4 linked regions of the Drosophila melanogaster genome follow. The protein of the gene in region 1 purifies or fractionates together with the protein of each later gene. This does not show direct contact. Each region holds a gene or a part of one and is shown on either strand. Other genes may lie near its edges. The genes, in order: Fer2LCH, Vajk2, PPO2 and Cpr64Ac.

The links.
Region 2: the proteins of Fer2LCH (region 1) and Vajk2 purify together in Drosophila melanogaster (affinity purification with mass spectrometry, with the first as the bait; one large-scale study listed by BioGRID). This does not show direct contact.
Region 3: the proteins of Fer2LCH (region 1) and PPO2 purify together in Drosophila melanogaster (affinity purification with mass spectrometry, with the first as the bait; one large-scale study listed by BioGRID). This does not show direct contact.
Region 4: the proteins of Fer2LCH (region 1) and Cpr64Ac purify together in Drosophila melanogaster (affinity purification with mass spectrometry, with the first as the bait; one large-scale study listed by BioGRID). This does not show direct contact.

The regions. Positions count from the first base shown.
Region 1 is NT_033777.3:30,386,105-30,392,015, reverse strand, and holds Fer2LCH (ferritin 2 light chain homologue), read right to left. Parts: upstream 3,187-5,911; 5' UTR 3,114-3,186; intron 2,878-3,113; exon of another isoform or gene 2,818-2,877; 5' UTR 2,806-2,817; coding exon 2,688-2,805; intron 2,601-2,687; coding exon 2,574-2,600; intron 2,320-2,573; coding exon 1,754-2,319; 3' UTR 1,432-1,753; downstream 1-1,431. Other genes in the region: Fer1HCH (ferritin 1 heavy chain homologue), read left to right, coding at 4,486-4,552, 4,905-4,913, 5,188-5,298, 5,420-5,697, 5,760-5,911. UniProt on the Drosophila melanogaster protein: Stores iron in a soluble, non-toxic, readily available form. Important for iron homeostasis. Iron is taken up in the ferrous form and deposited as ferric hydroxides after oxidation.
Region 2 is NT_033779.5:13,932,059-13,936,376, forward strand, and holds Vajk2 (Vajk2), read right to left. Parts: upstream 2,635-4,318; 5' UTR 2,552-2,634; coding exon 2,540-2,551; intron 1,739-2,539; coding exon 938-1,738; 3' UTR 501-937; downstream 1-500.
Region 3 is NT_033778.4:9,041,761-9,048,380, reverse strand, and holds PPO2 (prophenoloxidase 2), read left to right. Parts: upstream 1-3,671; 5' UTR 3,672-3,760; coding exon 3,761-4,744; intron 4,745-4,799; coding exon 4,800-4,895; intron 4,896-4,953; coding exon 4,954-5,715; intron 5,716-5,771; coding exon 5,772-5,984; 3' UTR 5,985-6,120; downstream 6,121-6,620. Other genes in the region: CG13743 (uncharacterized protein), read left to right, coding at 44-205, 355-467, 532-723, 1,633-1,875; Ance-4, read left to right, coding at 6,294-6,335, 6,570-6,620. UniProt on the Drosophila melanogaster protein: This is a copper-containing oxidase that functions in the formation of pigments such as melanins and other polyphenolic compounds.
Region 4 is NT_037436.4:4,210,659-4,215,620, reverse strand, and holds Cpr64Ac (cuticular protein 64Ac), read left to right. Parts: upstream 1-2,705; 5' UTR 2,706-2,747; coding exon 2,748-2,759; intron 2,760-2,821; coding exon 2,822-3,376; 3' UTR 3,377-3,657; downstream 3,658-4,962. Other genes in the region: Cpr64Ad (cuticular protein 64Ad), read right to left, coding at 1-81, 157-171; Cpr64Ab (cuticular protein 64Ab), read left to right, coding at 4,149-4,163, 4,273-4,620.

The sequences.
Region 1 (5,911 bases):
AATGACCGCTGCACGCACTCGGAGACACTGAAGAACCCACTCGGAGCGATCCAAGCACTATTCCAACCCAAAACCACATCAACTTGAATCCCATTTGGTCCTAACTGTTATGATTCCGAATGGAGTTTTCTCTTATGGCTGTCATATTCTAATTACATAAGAGCACGCAGTTATTACACGGATTCGCCTAATGCCGCAGATACGGATGCTGTGATTTGATGACCCCTGACCCCTGGCATTAAAATGGCAAATTGACGTTCATTTCACGTGCTAGTGGACCGTATCCGTACTCCGGATGTGCGGCGATATGAGCAAAGTCCTCATTGAATGGGCGTCGCTAATTGATAAATTGCTTCGATGCGTGGCTGGGATCCATAGTCGCATAGTACAATAGCTACTCAAATGCCGCAGAAAATGCTTAGAGAAAACCACTTTCAAAAGTGATTAAAGATACATTTTTACCTATTTCACACGTTAATTGAGCAGCTGTTATAGGATCTTACGGAATTTCCTAGAATTAATAGAGCTTCCATGTGGATTATAAAAAAAAAACTCATATTCACAAATAGGGATTCACAACAATTATTGTAGGTCAGGAGAGTGAGGAGGGAGCAGAGGAAGATAGGGAAACTGCGATGCAAATTCAGGGGACAATTAAAATCCGAGATTGCATCGGCTTACGCAACAATGTGACATCCACGTCATCGTGGAGTCTCCGACTTAGTCAGCAGACGGCCAAGATGGCGCCCGGCGGATCTGCTCCGGTTCCGGAGCGGCAAAGCCGTGTGCACCAGGCAGTGATAAGGCGACAGAGAGAATCTCGCATGGAATGACAAACGTGGCCCCTTCGTATCAGCGGCGGAGGAGTGTATCACTGATTAGATAGTCGGGCTCCTTTAAGCCCCACAGATCACTGCGAGAGATAGGTTTCACTTTTCACCATCGATTTAGGTTGTCAATTGAAAGAAAGTAATAAATTGATATTGAGATAGATAGATCCCACTAGATCCTAAGTGATTCCAGTCTCTGAATGGTCAAAAAGATGATTTTAAAATGGTAACGTAGTTTGCATACAATACTACGATATTTACAACATGGGTTTACATTCTCATTTATTTATTTATTTTTAGACAAGCGTTGATGGCTTGTACATAAACATATGGTTTTTAGTTGAAGGCACATTCTAAGAATATCAGAAACCACAACATTATGGAACATTACACCCGTTGTGATCGCAGAACTGAGTAGTTTCCGATACCATTTCGACTTTGTATATTTCATTGTTCCATATGATATCCAAAGTACACTGCCAGCCAGCCCGCAATCAGCAGCACTCGGAGAAAAAACGCAAACAGACGCCCCTCATTGAGGACCAGATACATTTCGACCCAAACCCAAACCTTATCAGAGAGGCAAAAATGCTGCTGTTTTACTAGTTGATAATTAGGTTCTTTGATGTGTTTATTATTTGTTCAAGCGGTAACGTACATACTAAAGATACATTTGCTGGGGCGAACTTGCTAACTTATTTATGATAACATTATCACAATCTGGTGTGCTGGTAAATCAAGGTGAATTTCGCGGTGTAAATTATTCACTTGTGGCTGCTTTGATAATGCTGCTGCTGCACTGCGATTTATTGATGAACAATCCAAGGAAACAAATTTATAAGGGAATTATGAGAGCAATTTTGAGGAGACAGTGTAGGAGCGTGTTAGAAAAAGAAGGAGGAAAAGGAGGTGGTCTCCACTCCTTACTGCTTCTGCAGATACTCGTCGAACAGGTAGACGGACAGGGATGGGTCGGGGACCTTCATCAGCTTGGCGAGGTCGTTGGCATAGCCGGACAGCTTGCGCACGCTCTCGGCCTGCTTGCCCAGGAAGTTCTCCTCGAAGTAGTGGGCCAGCTCGGGATCCCTCTCGGCGTCGGTGGCGTGGGTGGCACGGGAGTGCACGTGAGTGGCTCCGGTGGCCAGCTGCTTCTCGGTGTCCAGAGCCAGAGCCAGGGAGTGCAGTTCGTCGACCTCAAGAGTGCCGCGCTTGGTGCTCACGGAGCCGGAAGACTCGTGGCGGGTGTTGAAGTCAACGATTCCTCCGCGACGGGTCACCTGCTTGATCAGGGCAATGCTGTCCTCGAAGGAGCGGTCCGAGAGTCCCTGGTACAGCTTCTGGAAGCCGGGGCGGTTCTTCTGGTAGGAGTTGAAGTGGGTGGCCAGCAGGAGGTAGTCGTACGACTTGGCCAAGTTGGCGTTGATGTAGGACTGGATCTCGGGCTCAATATGGTCAATGCCAGCAAAACGGGCATTACAAATGGAGTTGGCTACGGGGAAAAAGCAAATAATAAAGATCACACTCTTAGAATAGGAGAGCAGAAGCACATCCAATAGTAATGACATAGTCTTAATGGTTCCTAACTAGGTAGTGCCATACTAAACAAGGCAATAGAATTTTGAATTTGTATTTGTATCTTTAAAATAATAATGTAAGGGCCGTAATGCAGTAAGAATTGGAAAGTGTTCATTTTCACGAAATCTGAGATAGTGCAGAAATACATCCAATCTATATTTCACTTACTCTTGCCTGTGAAAAAGCCCGTGAGCGCTTGTTTTTATTATTATGTTTTACAAAGATACAAAAAGCAACAACACAGATTAGCCACTCTCTCTTAGAGGCGCTCTCTTTACTCACCCGAAAAGGCTGACGTAGAGCATGCGGTGATTACAGTGTTCTGGCAATATTCATCATCCTTGGCCAAGGCAAGAGAGCCGAGGCACGCAAAGAGAGCGAGTGCAACGAAAAATTTCATGTCGACGGTTTACTGTAAATTAAAATCAAATTCGAGAGGCGAAAACAAAGGAAATTAGTTTCACAACAATTGACAATTGGAAAACAGACACTTTTGTTTTCATTTTGGGCGAGTTTTTTCGTTTTGCGTCGTAGCGTTTTCTTGAATTTTCTGTGCTCTTTTTTAACAACAAAACCACCACCAATGGAATGTTTTGGTTTTTAAATTTATATGGTGGTCGGTTTAAAAACACAGTTTCCAGAATATTATTTTCTAGTTTTCGTAACTAAACACTCACAAAGTAGTTAGTTAGTAATATTAAAACTCACTTCCAGTGCCTGTGCTTTTATTAATAATTCAATCGCTTTATGTGCTTCTTGGTGAAACTCTGAAAATCAACTGCTGTTTATAGCGTCGCGTACGTCTCTTTCTATGCGATCGATATGGCTGTGTGTGTGTGGTTTTGGAGAGCGTGCATGGGCATGTGTTGTTTTGCGCTCAGTGCGGGATTTCGGTGTCATTCAAATATGGCCGCTGCCAGTGCTGTTGTTGCTGCGCCTGCTGGAAGGTGACTCACGACAGGGTTGTCAGCGTGTGCAAAATATGGACGCTGCACTTTGGATTTCAAGTGGTTTCCTGAGAGTTTTATCAGCTAACGATGAGAATTGAAAATAAACTGCAGATAAACCATCTACCTCCTAAGATAATGTTTTAAGTTTTGATATATTGGTAATTCACAGCAGCATCGAGCTTGAGACTGTTGCTATTTACAATACATATTATTGCTGGGTTCGGAGATAATGTAGGGTTTCCCCAATCAACAAACAAATTATGTAATTTGTAAGTTTTCCCACCATGTATCCTTCTTATCAAGTGTCATTCTTGGAGCTCTGCAAGCGACACGTAAAAAAGAGCCGTCGCCATATTAGCAGTTATCAAAGTGGGTGACTGATCCCCCCTTCGAACGTGCAAATCAACTTGACAAAATGTGAATTAAATTGTCAGCAATAATTAAACCGCCTGGCAACACATGACGTGGTGCTCTCCCACGGCCAAAACAAAAACAAAGAACAGCTGATGCGCATCTCAAAAGAGCGGCCATATTGCATTTGATAAATTTACTTCTTAGTAAGTGGGGATTATCTGACTAGGAAACCCGACTTTATACAAAGTATACCCATATTGAGGACGTGTGTATCACATTGAGTGCGGCAATTATCGGGAATATTCAATTATCAGCCATTTAAACGGTTAACAAAGAACGGGCGACATGTTGAAAAGATAACAGTGCACACTCTCCCATCACTCACACACACACGAAGAAAAACCGAGAGCGCGCGCGCTTAAAAGTGTTTTGTGCGCCGTTCGGAGCGACAGTTCGCTTTCGAGTTCGCTAAAACACAACGTAGAAAGGCCTTAGCTCCACTGAAAAATCAGATTAAAGCTGTCAGCAGAAGGTACTGGAAAGCATTCGAGAAGTCGAAAATAATCCCAATCAAGCCCATCAAATTGAAGCAGGCGACGCCTTCTGCGCCAGTGTGTGTAAAGGCAGCTAGATTTTCAATTTCAACGCCTATTTAACATTGTAGCTCAACTCGAGTCGCCTCATTCTCATTTGTGCATTTCAAGCAAATCAAACTAAAGTGAAAAACAAATTTTTGTTCTGTGATTTTGTGTAAAGACTACGTTCGACGATCAAAGATGGTGAAACTAATTGCTAGCCTGCTCCTGTTGGCCGTGGTGGCCCAGGCCTATGGAGATTTCAAGTGTAAGTACTAATGTTACGTTTTATTCATCAGAATTTCAAACAAAACAAAGGCAGGTCATCGGAAAAAAAACAATAAATTTCGACGCAATACGCAAAGAGAAGCAAAACATTTGTAATGCGTTGAAAAGAGCATGCGCCGTTTCTCTTTGACGCTCTTTCACTCTCTTTCGTCAATGAAGTGAAGTTACCAAACCAGTTGATTTAAAAGTTATTGATACTTCCGTTGCGCTTTGGGGAAATGATAACCAGTTTTTATACATAAATTTTCATAATTAAATAATGCGAATTTCGCTTTCATTTCCATGAATATTGCGGTATAAATAAGCTTGACTTTTTGTTGTTACATTTCAAGGCGCTCTTTGCACACGGCTTTTACGGGCCGAGTGAGCTAGCATGGTGAACCATGCTTTTTGCACACGGCACTACACGAAAACAAATGCCGTTACTATGGCGGCGAGAGCTGCGCACGTTACCAATGCAGTTACAAAAACAGAGAGAGAGAGTGGGAGAGTAGGCCATTACAGTTTTGCACACGGTTTTTGTGCCCTAGAATAGCGGCATTTCAAGCGCAATTTCAAAGGTTTATGCAATTACGCCCTCTTAAATGCAATAACCAACAACGCCCTACCCCTCAGCCAAGCAAGAAAGCAAGAGTTTCGTGAGAGAGCTTCAAAGGGAGCGAGAAGAGCATCAACTAAAAGAAAAACAAAACCTAAGCCATGAAGGTCAAGACCAAGAGTGCAAAGGTTTTTAAAATATTAAAATTTACCTAAGTTCTGATTACAAAAATAAATTTTTTAAAGCTGAATACTAGCCATATATTGTTATCGTGGTCCCCCGACTTAACCCAACCTTATCCCATTGCAGGCTCCCTGGCTGTTCCTGAGATTACCAAGGACTGGGTGGACATGAAGGATGCCTGCATAAAGGGCATGCGCAATCAGATCCAGGAGGAGATCAACGCCTCCTACCAGTACTTGGCCATGGGCGCCTACTTCTCCCGCGACACCGTCAACCGCCCTGGATTCGCCGAGCACTTCTTCAAGGCCGCCAAGGAGGAACGTGAGCACGGATCCAAGCTGGTGGAGTACCTGTCCATGCGCGGTCAACTGACCGAGGGAGTCAGCGATCTGATCAATGTGCCGGTAAGTCGACGACTCGCCTAGAAAACCCAAAAGCCCAGCTAATCCTGGCGAATCCCCCACAGACTGTGGCCAAGCAGGAGTGGACCGATGGTGCCGCCGCCCTGTCCGACGCCCTCGACCTGGAGATCAAGGTGACCAAGTCCATCCGCAAGCTGATCCAGACCTGCGAGAACAAGCCCTACAACCACTACCACCTGGTGGACTACCTGACCGG
Region 2 (4,318 bases), on another chromosome or scaffold:
GGCCTACTCACTAAATTTACAGTTTTAAAAACATTGTTTGCGAACAATTACTTGACGCACTGTAATGCAATTCAGAATAATTCCCAAAATTTATAATAAATAAATAAATCATTGCATAGTTGTGGGAATATCCTTTGACTAAAATAAGCTGTATTAATCCACTTAAGAGTAACTCCACACCCCCTCATAAAAATTAATAAATATCCATAAATATATAATATATATATATATTATATATAAATATATAATATGTAAATATATAATATGTAGTCCTTTATGGCTACGTTTTAACTTGACAGATATATAACTTCTGTAAAAAAATGTATTTATTCCAAAATAGCAATGCAGCAATACAAATTAAGCTTTCAGCTTAAACAAAAGGCTCATTAAGTGAAAATACCCTATATACCTTAAAAATATCCTATCGAACTTCTATCTTTTTTTTTTTTAATGGAAAGCCCAGTATTTCTGAAAGTACAAGTCTTAAGTTTTTTTTTTTTAATTTTCGTTTTATTTACATTATTTAAATATGTACAAATATTTCATAGAAAAGAAATTTACGTGAAAAAGTCGAAGGAGCAACTCGTCAGCAGTTATTTCTCTGTGATTGTCTACAAAAGAACTGTACACTCGATGGATTTGGATGCCAGGAGACAGGCACTTTTCAAACGCCCCGGATGGGTTTTGGCAAGCTTTCTATAATGGATTGCGTCAGTTGTGTGATTTTCTCCTGGTTCCGATCCTTCCAGAATTTCGGTTGGTATCACAAACTAAAACTAAATTTGTAAGTCGTACGTTGGCGGTTGCTGGGCGTGGAAAGAGAGGGAGGGGTGCTTGATTCTTAATGTCTGTTGGATACTTTCGACTTGTTGGTTGGTTCGCTCGCCTTCACCCGACTTCACTTCTCGCTTGGCCCTCGACAGCATTGCGATTTCATCTACTTTTTGTGGAGGTAGCCACCGTGGGCGGAGCCGCCGTAGGAGGAGCTGCCGTAGGAGGAGATTCCGTGTCCGGAAATTCCGTATCCGGAGATTCCGTGTCCGGAGTAGCCGTGGCTGATGATGGCAGGAGCAGCGGCAACGGTGTGGGTGACGGCCACGGCGGGCTTGACGTGGCTCTCAACGTGGACAGGCACGGGCACGGCCACCTTGTAGGGCACTGGACGCTCCACATGGACGGGCACCTTGTGGATCACACGCTTCTCGACGGTGTATGGCACGGGCTTCTCCACGGGCACGGGGTATGGCTTGTCGACATGGACGGTGTAGGGACGATCAACTGGGATCTTCACGGGCACACGGATCACCTTCTCGACGGGGTAGGGCTGGGGCACCTCGACGGGCACCTTCACGATCTGCTTGACGGGCACATGGACGATCTTCTCCACGGGGTAGGGCTGGGGCACGGGCACCTTAACGGGATAGGTGACGGTCTTCTCGACGGGGTAGGGAACGTGACGCTCCACCTGGTAGGGCACCTGCACGGTCCTCACCACGGTGTTGGTGTGCACCTGGGTGGGCAGCTCAGCGACAGCGGGAGCCACTGGAACTCCAACACCGATGCCGGATCCCAGAATGGCGCCTCCCGCCGATGGTCCGTATCCGTAGCCCAGACCGTGGCCAATGCCGCGCTTCTCCTGCTTCTTCTCGGCGGGCTCGGCGGTCTCGACGGCCTTCTTGGGTGCCTCCTCACTGGCGTTGGCCACCAGCACGCACATCGCCACAAGGCCGAAAATGAGCTGCAATGACAAGTGGGTTAAATTCGATAGAAACCCAATTGGCTTGGTCGGGCGGTTATGCAACTGCAGCCGCTTCCGGCTCCACCTCCGCCCGATTACTCCATAATTTGGAATATGACAATTATGCAATGTTGGGTGGAAAGTTGGCTGGGCAACCAGCCAAGTTCAATTGTGGCCTAGGCCCCCTGACATATTGGGCATGCGGCGTATACTTAATGTGGCTTGATATTTTCGCAATAATTCGGTTAAAATACAAATTGGAAGAAGGCAAATTCAACTCTTTGTAGTTTCGCGTTCAAAGCTTTTTAATACGAATCTACATTTTTGTTTTCTTTTTTAAATGCTAAAAACATATTCTAGGACTGCCTATCCTTTTCGGGTTAAAATGATCCTTAACACTTTTCGATTTTAGTAATTATGAAATGTGATTTCTTTCAATAAGATTTAAATGTAGAACTGGTAATGGAAAAATTAAATATTTCAATTAGTTTTCTCTCTAAAAATCCTTTCTTAAAACCATGTTCATATTTACTTGGGTAAACCAAAATGCCACAAAAAAGTAACATATCTAGAGACATTTTAGAATATCCGTTCTATCCTTGCTTTTGAAAGAGCTGATGAAGTCGTGCAAAAACCTTTTTAAAAATACTTTAATTGCAACACCGATATGTCTACATTGTTCCATAAATATATATATATATATTCTTTTGCAAGTCACTTTAACTGAATCCGAGTTTTTGAAACACAATTATTCTAAGCAGCACTTCGAAGGAGAACACACTGAGCTCAGACCGAACATACCATGGATTTCATTTTGCACTAGGTTAGCTCCTCAACACTTTGCGATCAAGATGGGCTTGTATGTCTCAACCAACCCGCAACAGTTAACTGAATAATTTCGCACAGACGCAGCGAGCTTTTATATGGCCGATGCTGTGGCGGGATTGTCTTCAGCCGCGGCTGCGCAGTCGACGTGAATCGAGATCGCAGCAGCCGTGTTGAAAAAGCTCGCTCTCCATCCGTTCGACAGCTCCTCTCTCTCTTGGCCAACTGTCCGTGTGAGCCCGTGGCCCAAAGGAAATGCGTCAGCAAGCGAGCTTTTTCGAAAGAGGGTGCCTCACACGGACAGTGTCCATGTTGTCCGTGTGATCTGCGCCTGTATGAGTGCGTATCTGTGAACACTCGAGCTCCAACTGTAGCGATCTTTGGGAACTACTGAAAGTATTCAGACACCAAGTAACTGGGGGCACAGTTTAGTAGAAAGAATCGTTTCTTGCCAATAGCCAACATAACAAACATAGCAAATGGGTAATTTCGTTTAATTTTGCCTTAATCTACCAAAGAGATCCAATCAATTCTTTTGGAGAATCGCTCTTAATTGTACAGTTCAAACAATATAGACTTTTTTAATCATATACGTATGAATTTTAATCAACGACTTTAGAGTTTTAGAGTCTCAGAGTTTGTTTCTAGAATATTCGAAAAGTGATAAATTTTGTATTGTTAAAATTTTAGTAAACAGCTTTAAAAGTCCTTAGAAAGTTTATGTAATTTTAGATCGGAGCCCTTCCTCCGACGTCTTTTTGCGCAGTTAGTATTGTTATATGTAGCCATTATTATATTATCATTTTCCCTTTGTACAAATATATCTTATTAATATATTTTTTGTAAAAATCTCACATAAATACATGAAGTGTTAGTGTTTGTTTCCCAGGTAAAATTACATTAATGAACACGACAAATAAAATAAACTACTTGTATTTCTTACCATTTTACATAAATCTTTGGAAATCAACACATTCGAAAAGAACATTAATTATAAACATAATAATTATTCAATTAAAAATTAAATATTAACAAAGTTAAAAATGAACATAAAGAGTTTAAAATTTATGGACCATAAATAAATGAGTAATTTTTGGCTGGTAACGAAACCTTCATAATTATTAAAAAATATATACATTAAAAAAGAGATCACAAATACTTTTCTAATGCATAATTTTGACTAGTCCTTAGTGTTGGGAAATTTTTGCCCCAAAGCCTTGAGCCATTAATAAATAACTGACCGCGAGCACTTCAGTCACATAATCAAATTAGACACAACGGGCAAAGTGTTCCACAGCCATAAGTTAAATTCACATTAGCCACACATTTCCGAAAATTTCAGGTTACAAATCCAGTTGCAGTTGCAGTTGCATATTGAATGTAAATTGCTTGGCTGCAGAAGAAACATGCGCCGCATAGTCTGCTTGATTCTGTGTGGCTTCGTGACTGAACTTTTGATCTCGGATTTGTGTTTGGCTCCGTATTCTTGTTTGCTTCGGTTTTTTTTTCTCAGCTTTTTGGCCAGGCTGAGCGGCGTTTTAAGCCTTGATATGGGTGCATTGATTGAATGCTGTGGCAGTGTGGGTAATTTGACATTTTAATGCTGCAGAGGAAATACTCGCCAATGGCCATGTAAATGGAACGTGTGAACAATGAGTGGACCGCAAAACGCGCACAAAGGAGAACAGATACGGGCACCAAATCATGTTGGTTTTATGTGCATTAATTTAATTGTGGACATAACGCCGCGGACAT
Region 3 (6,620 bases), on another chromosome or scaffold:
CTATGTATCTATCTATCTTTTTATTGGACATCCGTCCGTGCAGCTTTCATGTGTCATCACAACACCTTCCTCGTTTATCAATCGATGCGCGACGCGACCATGGAGCGCTGGGAGAAGGTCACCCACATTTCGATTGGATTTGCCTGGACGGTGGCGGCCCTCTTCGGCATCGCCGGCTACTCCACCTTCCGCGCTCTTTCCCAAGGTGAGGGATTGACACAAATTGCATTTAATTGCAGTGACAGGCAATTTGTGGATGTTTCCTGTCTGCTGTTTTCGGCATTTACTATACTTGTAGTATTTACTGCTTACGACCGTTCCAATCCCGATGGGATTCGGCTTTCCTTCTTGCAGGCGACCTGCTGGAGAACTACTGCTGGGATGACGACCTGATGAACTTCTCGCGTGTGCTCTTCTCCATATCGATACTCCTGACCTTCCCCATCGAGTGCTTCGTGTCCCGCGAGGTGAGCATCCGGAATCGCAGAGCCAGTTTAGCAACATACTTTTATTTTGGGCCATTCCCCACAGATTGTGCGCGCCCTCGTCCATCGGTTCGTGCTGAAGGAGCCCATCAGCGAGTTCACCCAGGACAAGGACCCCAGCCTGGAGAAGGGGGCCATTATCGATGAGTACTCGAAAGCCATTACCATGGCCATCGTGTTCAGCGCCTTCGTCATCTCGCCCATGACCGACTGCCTGGGTTCGGTGCTGGAGCTGAATGTGAGTAGGATTTTCCATGTCCCTTATCCATGTTCGCCTAGAAAATGGGTTGGGTACCCTTGACCAAAAGAAGGCGTTTCTATATATATGTAAGAATGGTACCCATCCGATGAAATAAGAAACATTTAAAGTCTTACTTTAAAGTCTTTACTTTTACATTTATTTAAATCATTGCGACCATGTGCACTTGTAATCTTCTTTATACTTTCTTTCAATACTAATATTTTTTACAAGTCCACTTGATGTTTATTTATCCCACTTTATGACTTTGTGGTTTTACCTCAATACACGCGATAACTTAAATCCGCAAACTCAGCTGCTTACTTGTGTTTTAGTTTAATCACAATCAGCAAGAGTTTACCCAAAACCTTTTTTAATGTACAAATTAATCATTTATGTTCCTAGTTTCCGAAAGAACACATTTCTTATCATTTATAATGCTCAGACCATTTATCATCGAGATAACTTCGACTAAGCAATTTGCAAACTTAAAGATTATTTATTACGGTTTTCGTTTGCATTTATTTCCGAGTGAATATTTGGCCTAGATGAAAGAGAATAAATTCCAATTCCCAAAGTCCATATATTCAAGTAGAAAGCTATGCAACAAAGAATCCACCAAATGCTTCATTAAATACATCTGAGACTAATTCCGATTTCACCATTCACATTTGCCAGACCAAAGGGAGAACCGTATGGCCAAGTTTATTATTATCGTCCGTAGCCATTTGCCCCTTGTATTCCAGTCACGGGTATTGGCCACAACGCCAATCCCAAACGGCATCTACAAATTCTGGCCGGAACCCGTCTTTGTATTTGCCATGCAAATTTATGCCCCACCCATCAGCCAGCCCATCAGAACATCAGCCCGTCAGCCCATCAGTACATTCAACAATCCACCCATTTCAGGGTCTCCTGGCGGCCATTCCCCTGGCCTACATCCTGCCCGGCCTGGCCTACATTCAGATGGAGCCGCACGCCCTGCTCAGCCGGGAGAAGCTGCCCGCTCTGGGCCTGGTGGTCTTCGGAGCCCTGGTGACCATCTTGGGGGCGGCGGTGCTCCTGCCGGGTCTAATGGGCGGCGACTGCCGATCGGACATTGTGATGGGTTACTGCCGGCAGGAGTTTCAGAACACCACCTCCTCGAACTAAGTTAACGGAACGGAAGTCAGCCCACGATGTGGGGCGCGCGGGTTGGGATCGCATTTTTATGGTTTGGGTTTTTGGGTTGAAACTTCTGATTTGACCTTCGGTTAATACAGCTGCACCACGTCGCATCGAAAGAAACTTGTACCTGAGTCCCAGACGTTCAAAGTATCTGCGTAAGTAAGTAGTAGGCACAGTGTTGAATTGGATTAGTGGATAGCGGATAGCGGATGTGTGATACGGGCGAACCTCAGTACAAAGGCCAGGCATTCTCTCCGATCGAGTAACCCATGTATATTTGCACCGGATAGTCGTTTAAAGTGTACATTTCGTTGGATCCCCGTTGTTGATGTCGATATTGTTGAAAGTAGTGAAAGTTCCTCGATATATAAGTGTGTGTGTACTCCGTACTCTGTACTTTGAAGCCATCAAGTTGAGCAAGCGATTTGAATTGAATTGAATCGAAAGAAACGAGCAAAGGCAAACTAAACCGAACTAGAACTAGATGTTATCCGTAGCTTTAGCGTAGTCTGAAACTATTTGGGCACCAATATACACATGCAATCCTTAGAGACAACCGACTCCCCAAGTTGAGAAGTGAATCAAAATCGAAAACGAAATCGAACAAGTATTATATGTATGTACCGAGAACTATTTGTAACTATGTATGCCCCGACGTTACCGGATCGTATTCCCCAGTTTTATATGTATGTATATGTATACAAGGGTAGATAAAAATGCGCTTGAACCGAACTAAAATCAAACTACAATATATCCCCATCAACACATCGATTTGAACAACAGTTTTGAGTTGTTAACGGCACTGAATTCTGTTTTGAATTGCATATGTACACCGAACACGATCGAATATTTATATATACAGAAACATAGATATATTTTTGTACAACTCTTGGTTTATACTGCACGATATTATGTAAATACATGTGTATGCATTTTTGGATGTGATTAAAGTCTTTACACTCACACAAAAGCCATCACCTCTTACTTTCTCTTCGGGCTGAGAGATCGGAACCAAGCTGAAGACCCCACAACTCTATATTCTAAGAGCTTAAACACTACATATCATGGCCAAGGAACACGGGACATGCCCAGGGCTTTTCTGAGATACATTTTACAAGATCTAAACAACTAACCAACTGAACCTATCGCTTTTACACAACGAATACGAGAACGGAAACGGAAACAGCAGCATACAATTTCCACAGACTTCCTGTATATACACGCTATATATATGTAGATCCGCTTGTCGTACGATATTGCTCATCTCTTCACTCGCCAAATATCTCGTTGTATCTCTCTTTTTAGCGCTATGCTAAATAAATATATGTATTGTATATCAAAGCAGTAGTAGGGAATTAGGGACGAATTGATCGATTATAGCCGAATTGTAATAACTATTATTGCCGTATTATGCATGTAGCTACATATATATACATACTATTATATTAAATTGTTTAGATGTGATGCTATCTGACCGGAGGATCGTGTGCGTAGAGAAGTTTTGATTTACAACGCAGGCATATCCCAGAGATAACAAAATCCGATTTCATTCCAATAGTATATATGTATAGATAAGCTAAAGCAAAACCAAATGAAATACTCTTGAAATAATAAAACTGCATTTTAGAAATATGCTAAAACAACACTGCGGTTTCCATACTATATCCTTATCGCCGCAATTTGTCGACAATTTCAATTCTCAGGCGTTCTTGTGGTTTTCAAAACCGATACTAGTGCCTTCGAAGTTTTGTATAAAATGTGCAGTTCTTTCGGTGAATAGTCACAGTCGTGAAGTTCCCAGACTTCCAGTCACATTCCCCATTTAGTTTGCTCCGCGATCCAGCAGGTCCTCCCTGACATCCCATTGAAAATGGCCGACAAGAAGAATCTCCTCCTGCTTTTCGACCATCCCACCGAGCCAGTGTTCATGGACAAGGGCAAGAGGGTGACCGTGTTCGATGTGCCCGACTCCTTCCTGACCGACCGCTACCGACCCATCAGCAACGAGGTGCAGAGCCGCGTCGGCGACAAGGTGGAGCAGCGCGTTCCAGTCCGGGAGATCTCCATTCCCGATCTGCGGATCCCCATGTCCCTGGGCCGGGACGAGCAGTTCTCGCTGTTCCTGCCCAAGCACCGCAGGATCGCCGGCCGCCTGATCGATATATTCATGAACATGCGCTCCGTGGACGACCTGCAGAGCGTGGCGGTGTACGCCAGGGATCGGGTCAACCCGGTGCTCTTCAACTACGCCTTGTCGGTGGCGCTGCTCCATCGTCCGGACACCCAGGGCCTGGATCTGCCATCCTTCTCGCAGACTTTCCCCGACCGCTTCATCGACTCGCAGGTGATCCGCAAGATGCGGGAGGAGTCTTTTGTGGTGCAGCCCGGTTCCCGGATGCCCATCACCATTCCCAGGGACTACACCGCCTCCGATCTGGATCCCGAGCACCGGCTGTGGTACTTCCGCGAGGATCTGGGCATCAACCTTCACCACTGGCATTGGCATCTGGTCTACCCCTTCGAGGCCTCCGACCGCAGCATAGTGGCCAAGGATCGTCGTGGCGAGCTCTTCTACTACATGCACCAGCAGGTGATCGCCCGCTACAATGCGGAGCGGTTCAGCAACAACCTGGCCAGGGTTCTGCCCTTCAACAACCTGAGGGATCCCATTGCCGAGGGCTACTTCCCCAAGATGGACTCTCTGGTAGCCAGCCGCGCGTGGCCACCGCGCTTCGAGAGCACCAGGTTGAGCGATCTCAACCGGGAGTCCGACCAGCTGAATGTGGAGATTGGAGATCTGGAGCGTTGGCGTGATCGCATCTACGAGGCCATTCACCAAGGATTTGTCATGGATGTGAGTTGTTGGTGGGTTTTCCATTAACTAAATAACATGCCATATTCCCTTTCAGGAGCGTGGCAACCGGGTGCCATTGGATGAGGCGACGGGCATTGATACCCTCGGCAACATGATTGAATCATCCATTCTGTCGCCCAACCGAGTGCTGGTAATAAGTCCTTACCCTTAGTAAATTATTCTAGGGATTAATCCTATTGCTCCCCTAGTATGGTGACCTGCACAACAACGGACACACCTTCATCTCGTACGCCCACGATCCGACCAGCAAGCACCTGGAGTCCTTTGGCGTGATGGGTGATGTGTCCACGGCCATGCGCGACCCGGTCTTCTACAAGTGGCACTCGTACATCGACCGCATCTTCCAGGAGCACAAGTCGCGCCTGCCCGCCTATACCGAGAACCAACTAAACTACCCGGGCGTCTCGATCGCGGGCATCCAGGTGGACACCAATGGAGGTCGTCCCAATAATCTGACCACCTTCTGGCAGCAGTCGGACGTGGACATGTCCCGTGGCTTCGACTTCCTGCCGCGAGGTAATGTCTTCGCCAGGTTCACCCACCTGCAGCATCTGCCCTTCACCTATACCATCAGTTTGAACAACGATAGTGGTGCCCAGCGTTTCGGCTACGTGCGCATCTTCATGGCGCCGAAGAACGACGAGCGTGGCCAGCCCATGCTGATGCGAGATCAGCGCTCCATGATGATCGAGCTGGACAAGTTCGTGACTTCGCTGAACCCGGGACCCAACACCATCCGCCGCCGCTCCACGGAGTCGAGCGTGACCATTCCGTTCGAGCGCACCTTCCGCAACCTGGATGCCAATCGTCCGGCGGCCGGCACTCCGGAGGAGCTGGAGTTCAACTTCTGCGGCTGCGGCTGGCCCAACCACATGCTGGTGCCAAAGGGTCTGCCCGAGGGACTGCAGTGCGTGCTGTTCATCATGGTGTCGAACTATGAGAACGACAGGGTATGTTAGCTGGCTAGTAAATCAAGGATATTTTTGACAATTATCTCCACCTCCAGATTGACCAGCAATTGGTGGGTCGGTGCAGCGATGCCGCTTCCTACTGTGGCGTCCGTGACCGTCTTTACCCGGATCGCCAGTCCATGGGATTCCCCTTCGACAGGTTGCCCCGCAGCGGAGTCGACCGCCTGGTTAACTTCCTCACGCCCAACATGAGCATCGTGGACGTGAACATCCGCCACGAGAACCGCACCGTGCAGCGCCCAAACTAGACGATCCGCACCTGATTCGCTTTCCCGATTCGCCCTGACCCGATTCCATGACCTCGCCCACTTCTAGATATACAACTCTTAGCAATCTATTGCATCTTTATTGAGCCGCTTAATAAACAAGACATCATGGCATTCCACAATCCCACTTTTGTTCTCAATTATTGTGGCTCGGCCTCCGGGCGAGAATCTCTCGCTGATTAGGCTTATCAGCCGCCCGGGAGAAGCTTTAAATGCCAGCTCCACGGCCGGAGCACCTCAGTTCGAGCAGATCCGGTGTTGAGTGCGAAAGTGAAACCGATTCCCGAGGAGATGGGCCTGCTGCTGCTTCTGGTGCTGATAGCGGGCATTGGCGTAAGCACTGTACCGATTAAATAATCTATGGGTCCACAAAGATCCCACAAAAAGATGTGGTCTTTAGATAACTTTAAATCATAATTTTGCGTGTTTGAAATATGTTTCATTTAGATGCGTGTCAGTTTCTATATAGTTTGAGGATACTTAGAAGACCTAGACTAAACTAAGCCTGTAATAGCAATAATATTGTAAGTGAATTTGCTGCTTTTAATTGATTGTCATTTATTTTAGTGCGCAACTGCAGCAGCCAACATTGACCTGGAGGCCAAGACGTTTGTGAAT
Region 4 (4,962 bases), on another chromosome or scaffold:
ACCCAGAGGAGCGGCGGCCAGAGGAGCGCCAACCAGACCAGCCTGAGCCGAGAGGGCCATCGAGGAAAGGACTGCAACAACCTGTGAGGAAAATGCATGGAGTCCAGTTTAGTCTCCTGACCTGACGGGTTCACCGAAGCCATCACCAACACTTACCGTCAGAGGATTCATTGTAAGGCTTGGGTGGGGGTTTAGTGCGATTGTCACCGTCGGTTATCGAAAATGAACTGACATACCTTGGACAAAAAAACCACGACTTTTATACCCAGATGCGTTCGCGAAATTTGCATGCGGTGCTCCGTGGAGGGAACTGCGTACCAATTGCGTATGGTAGCCCATTGTCCGAGCTCCTTGCCCCCCGCATCATCACCATCGCCGCTTTTTGGGGCCGCCTCTTCCTACCCAGCATTTGGCTGCGTCTGCGTCTCGGGCTTTGATCCAAATTCGCAGCACGTACTCCAATTTTCAGTCGTCTTGCGGTGGCTACACCAAGTTTTCATTTTTATTTGCCACTGTTTTTGCCTTGTTCGGATCGAAAGTGAATGCGATTTGATTATATTTCGGAGCAGTAGTTTTCGGTAATTGTCATGCAGGTTCCATCCAATGACAGTGCTTTTAATTTTCCTTTACACCAAAAGCGCGAAACTTATAATTAAGTTACCATAATGACGTCGAGTTGACAAGGGTTCAAGCTCAAAAACTTAATATTAATATATCTCTGGGATAAAAAAGTATCTTTAGAGTGTAATGATCCTGATTTTGATGTACTACTTGAATTGGTTGTCTCAAATAAATTGGAAAGTTTCTTATACACCTTATTGGGTATCAATTACTTATGCTAATGAGTTACCACTTATACATAATAAGGGTTTTCACAAGGGGTTCGGTTTCACTTAACAAGGTGAAACTGGGTCAATGTGGCCCAGTAATATCGATTAGACTAATATATATACTATATACCCATATATTACTATTGTAAATCTATTGAAAGATTATCAACATTTGATACATCAATTATATTGATATTATTCTAATAAATGGCCATGCATTTGGTTTATGTTTCCATAAGGAGATTTTTAGTTCCTCCCCTAAACGACTTTGCTGAAAAGGATAAATCTTATTTTAAATTTAACATGCTTTCCTAACAAATATCTTCAGTAACAACAAGAATCTCTGGTCTTTTGGAATTTGCCTAACTCCATGGTTGATTAAAGATTCCCCATCGATTTCGTGCTGTAACTGGTGGCTGGTTTTGAGTTCGTGACTCTTTTCCTAAATGCAACCAACGACCTTGCGACTCGTTGGCTGCGGATTCACCTCGGAGAGACGCTGAGCGATCCGGAGAAGCGGAGAGAGCCCCAAAAGTTGGCACCAAATGGTGGTATTACTCGTCGGGTTGTGGTAGCTGACTAACGGTTGTCGGCGTAGATTGTCGCCACCGGAAACCAGCATGGATATACAGTCGTCCAATTTGGCCAAAGCGAATGGAATGCTCCACTGCCATTTATGCAGTTCCTTGCCCAATCGCTTGACTCTGCTCTGAGATGAGAATTAATTAAAAGTGGATGAAATACTAACCACAGCCACTTAGCTGCCAATTGTGAGCAAGGTCGCCGCGGTTAGAGCTTCCAAATGCCGGCTAAATGCTTTTTGGCCCGATCGAGGCAATTACGGTGGCTAAGTGACCGGGCTCAGCAATGTGGGCGCTGGTCCAGTTGGTCAGGTGGAAATCGGATCGTCGAGGGGTTAATGCGTGTGCCAGTGCGTAATTGCGCCTGCGTCCCGCCCAATTCCATTCCCTCCACCAAGCCGTCGAAACTTGCCATTTTCGTTTTCTAATTAAACGAGTGGCTGCGAACGATTGATCTTGTTTTTATACCCTGCACTTTGGGTGGGCACATTGGACATGTATGTTACTATGAAGATTACTCGCACGTCACGCAAACCAAGCGAAATTTGCTTGCGTTTGGACAACATGGCGTGTGAGTGATAATCGGCATAACTTAACAGCAGGCATTTCAATTACATATTCAAATATTGATTGAAGTATGTTCGCCAAATGAGTGTTTACATATCCAATTGTAATCTTGGTTTCATACATTTTCAGAAAATTGAGAGTAAATACATATTTTCATTAGGTCTTTGATGATATTAAAGATTTTTCTTGAAAGGGTACCTACAATCGCTAAAAAAGCACTGTCACTGTTCTTGTGGCAACTGCAACTGAAACTGCCACAATATGAGGCACTTATTACATCAGACAAATTTTGGCTGGAGAACCTGAGAATGTGCCAAAAAACGGCGAAAAAATGAAACCAGATCGGCCAGCGAGTCAGCGGAAAACGAGTCTGGTGTTGCTGGTAGCTGACTAGCTGGGTATCTTGGAGCGGCGCTCTTGAACGGACTCAAATGGACTTCGGTGAGTGGTGTGCCTCGGCAGCGGCGGCTGCAGTTATTCCATTGAGAAAAGCCAGCACCAATGATGAAATCCGCACCAGAAACACGAAATCCGCCATCAGCGATGAGGTCTGGGGTGCAAGATCGAGATCGAGATCGGGCAGCCACCAAATGAGACGCAATTGTCACTCTGCCCATTAGATTGTCCAGTTTTTTTTTCCGCTGGCAGCTGCCGCCAGTTTCGAATATAAAACTGAAGACCACGCGGAAAATGCATCTCACATTTGAGCTGAGTTCTCGCAGTGCAGACACATCCAAACCAGAGCTCCCTCATTCTCACATCCTTCGCCATGATTGCCCAGGTGAGTTGGCCAAAGGAGTGCAGCTTTTAGTTGGCTCAACTGATCATGGAATTCCTCGCCAGACTCTGTTCGTTTTGGGACTGATCCTGTCCGCCGTTGTGGCCATTCCCATTGATCCCTATGGACTTTCGGCCCCTGGACTCACCTATGCGGCTCCCAAGTTGCTTGCTGCTCCTGCCATTTCCTATGCTGCTCCCAAACTCCTGGCGGCTCCTGCCATCTCGTATGCCGCTCCTGCCATCTCCTATGCTCCCAAGGTCCTGGCTGCCCCCGTCGCTGTGGCCAAGGTGGCTGTTGCCGAGCCCTACGATCCCAATCCGCAGTACAGCTTCTCGTACGGAGTAACCGATCATCACACCGGTGACTCCAAGCAGCAGGAGGAGACCCTGGTCAACGGAGTCGTCCACGGCAGCTACTCCCTGGCCGAACCCGATGGCACTATTCGCAAGGTCACCTACACCGCCGACAAGGTCAACGGATTCAATGCGGTCGTGGAGAAGAAGGGCGTGGCCGCGGTGGCCATTGCCAAGCCAGCTCTTGCCGTCGCCGCCGTTCCCGCCATCACCAAGATTGGATACGCTTCGGCGCCTGGTCTGAGTCTGGGTGGATACCACTAGGCGATGAACCGGTGGACCAAGCGATGACAAACTCCATGGCCTAGTTGTAGGACCGTTGTTAAATAGTTCTAATGCATTTACCCACTTTTCTGTCAGTCAAAACCCGAAACACAAGGACGTGCGTGCTGTTGCCACCCCGCTGTTGACCCACATTCCCAATCTCCGATCGAAGGATCGCCACCATAGACTACGTTTAGGGATACCGTTCTGGGGATCTGGGGAACGGCTATCGGCCACTTAGTGAATTAGTAACTGCATTTACTGAATAAAAGTTTCGGTACAAAAAAAAAGATTGAATGAATTGTTATTAGTTGTTCGATGGAACTGATCGGTTGGAAGTGATATTCGAAAAGTTGAAATATTTCTAGGAATGCTCCACATTCCCCTGCTTAACCCAGTTAAACATTGGGGTAGGTCCCGAGCTTCGAGTTAAAGCTCCCAATCTTAGATTCCGATCACGTAGTGCCAACTATATTTACGGTTATCACAATTCATATTGGTGGGGCTTCAATGGAGGGGAGAATTGTGCAAGTTGGGCCATTGGATGGCACGTCCATGGGGGAAACTTTTTGCAGGTGGACCAGGCACAAAAACGGGCCATTACGTCAGCAAATGGAATCGTTTTTGGCAGCGGTTGCCACACGGCGCATGTTATCGCGGAAATGTGGAGGCCCTTTATAACCCCGATCCAATGGCAATCCAAGACAGTTCCGACAGCATTGTCAAGCACAAAGCACCATTGGAAAACCACTATCCACCAGCAAATCTAGTCATGGCCCTGATCAAGGTGAGTTGAGGGAATCCTGGTCAAGGAATGTGATTGAACATACTACTAGGATCTGCACAAGTGTATATCTTGATCATAAATCAATCAATGCACCTTACTTAACCCACAGATCACCCTCATCTGCTGCGCTCTGATCGCCGCCATCGAGTGCGCCCTGCTCCCAGCTGCTGTTCCAGTGGGAGTGCCCCTCAACACGGAGGTGGATCCACATCCGCAGTACGCGTTCGCCTATAATGTGCAGGATGCCCTTACCGGGGACAGCAAGAGCCAGCAGGAGGTGCGGGATGGAGATGTGGTCAAGGGCTCCTACTCGGTGGTCGATGCCGATGGTTCACTGCGCACCGTCTTCTACACCGCCGATCCCATCAACGGTTTCAATGCGGTGGTGCAGCGAGGACCAGTTCCGGTGGCTGCTCGCCCATTGGTGGCTCCAGTGGCTGCTCCAATCTTGGGCTAACTCCACAATCTTTCAGAGCCTTTAACACTGCTTGTAACCTAGCTTTTACATAACTTATTGTCTGCTCCTTAGTCCGTTGTAAAGTCAGTAATCATTAAACAATAAACTCAATAAGCCAAAGAAATACATGAAATCCTTCAATCATATTCAAGGAAAATCCGCAAGTATTCGCTTCTCAAGGCGTTGATTAACTAAAATTAATCAAAAGCTCTACTAAAATTCCGAAACGAGTTTAAATTTACACCTATACATTTTTATTAATTAGTCAGTTGATTAGACAAGCTCAAGGCCCAAAATGCATACTTGCCTAGTTAATGATAATGAACTAAATTAAAAACACAC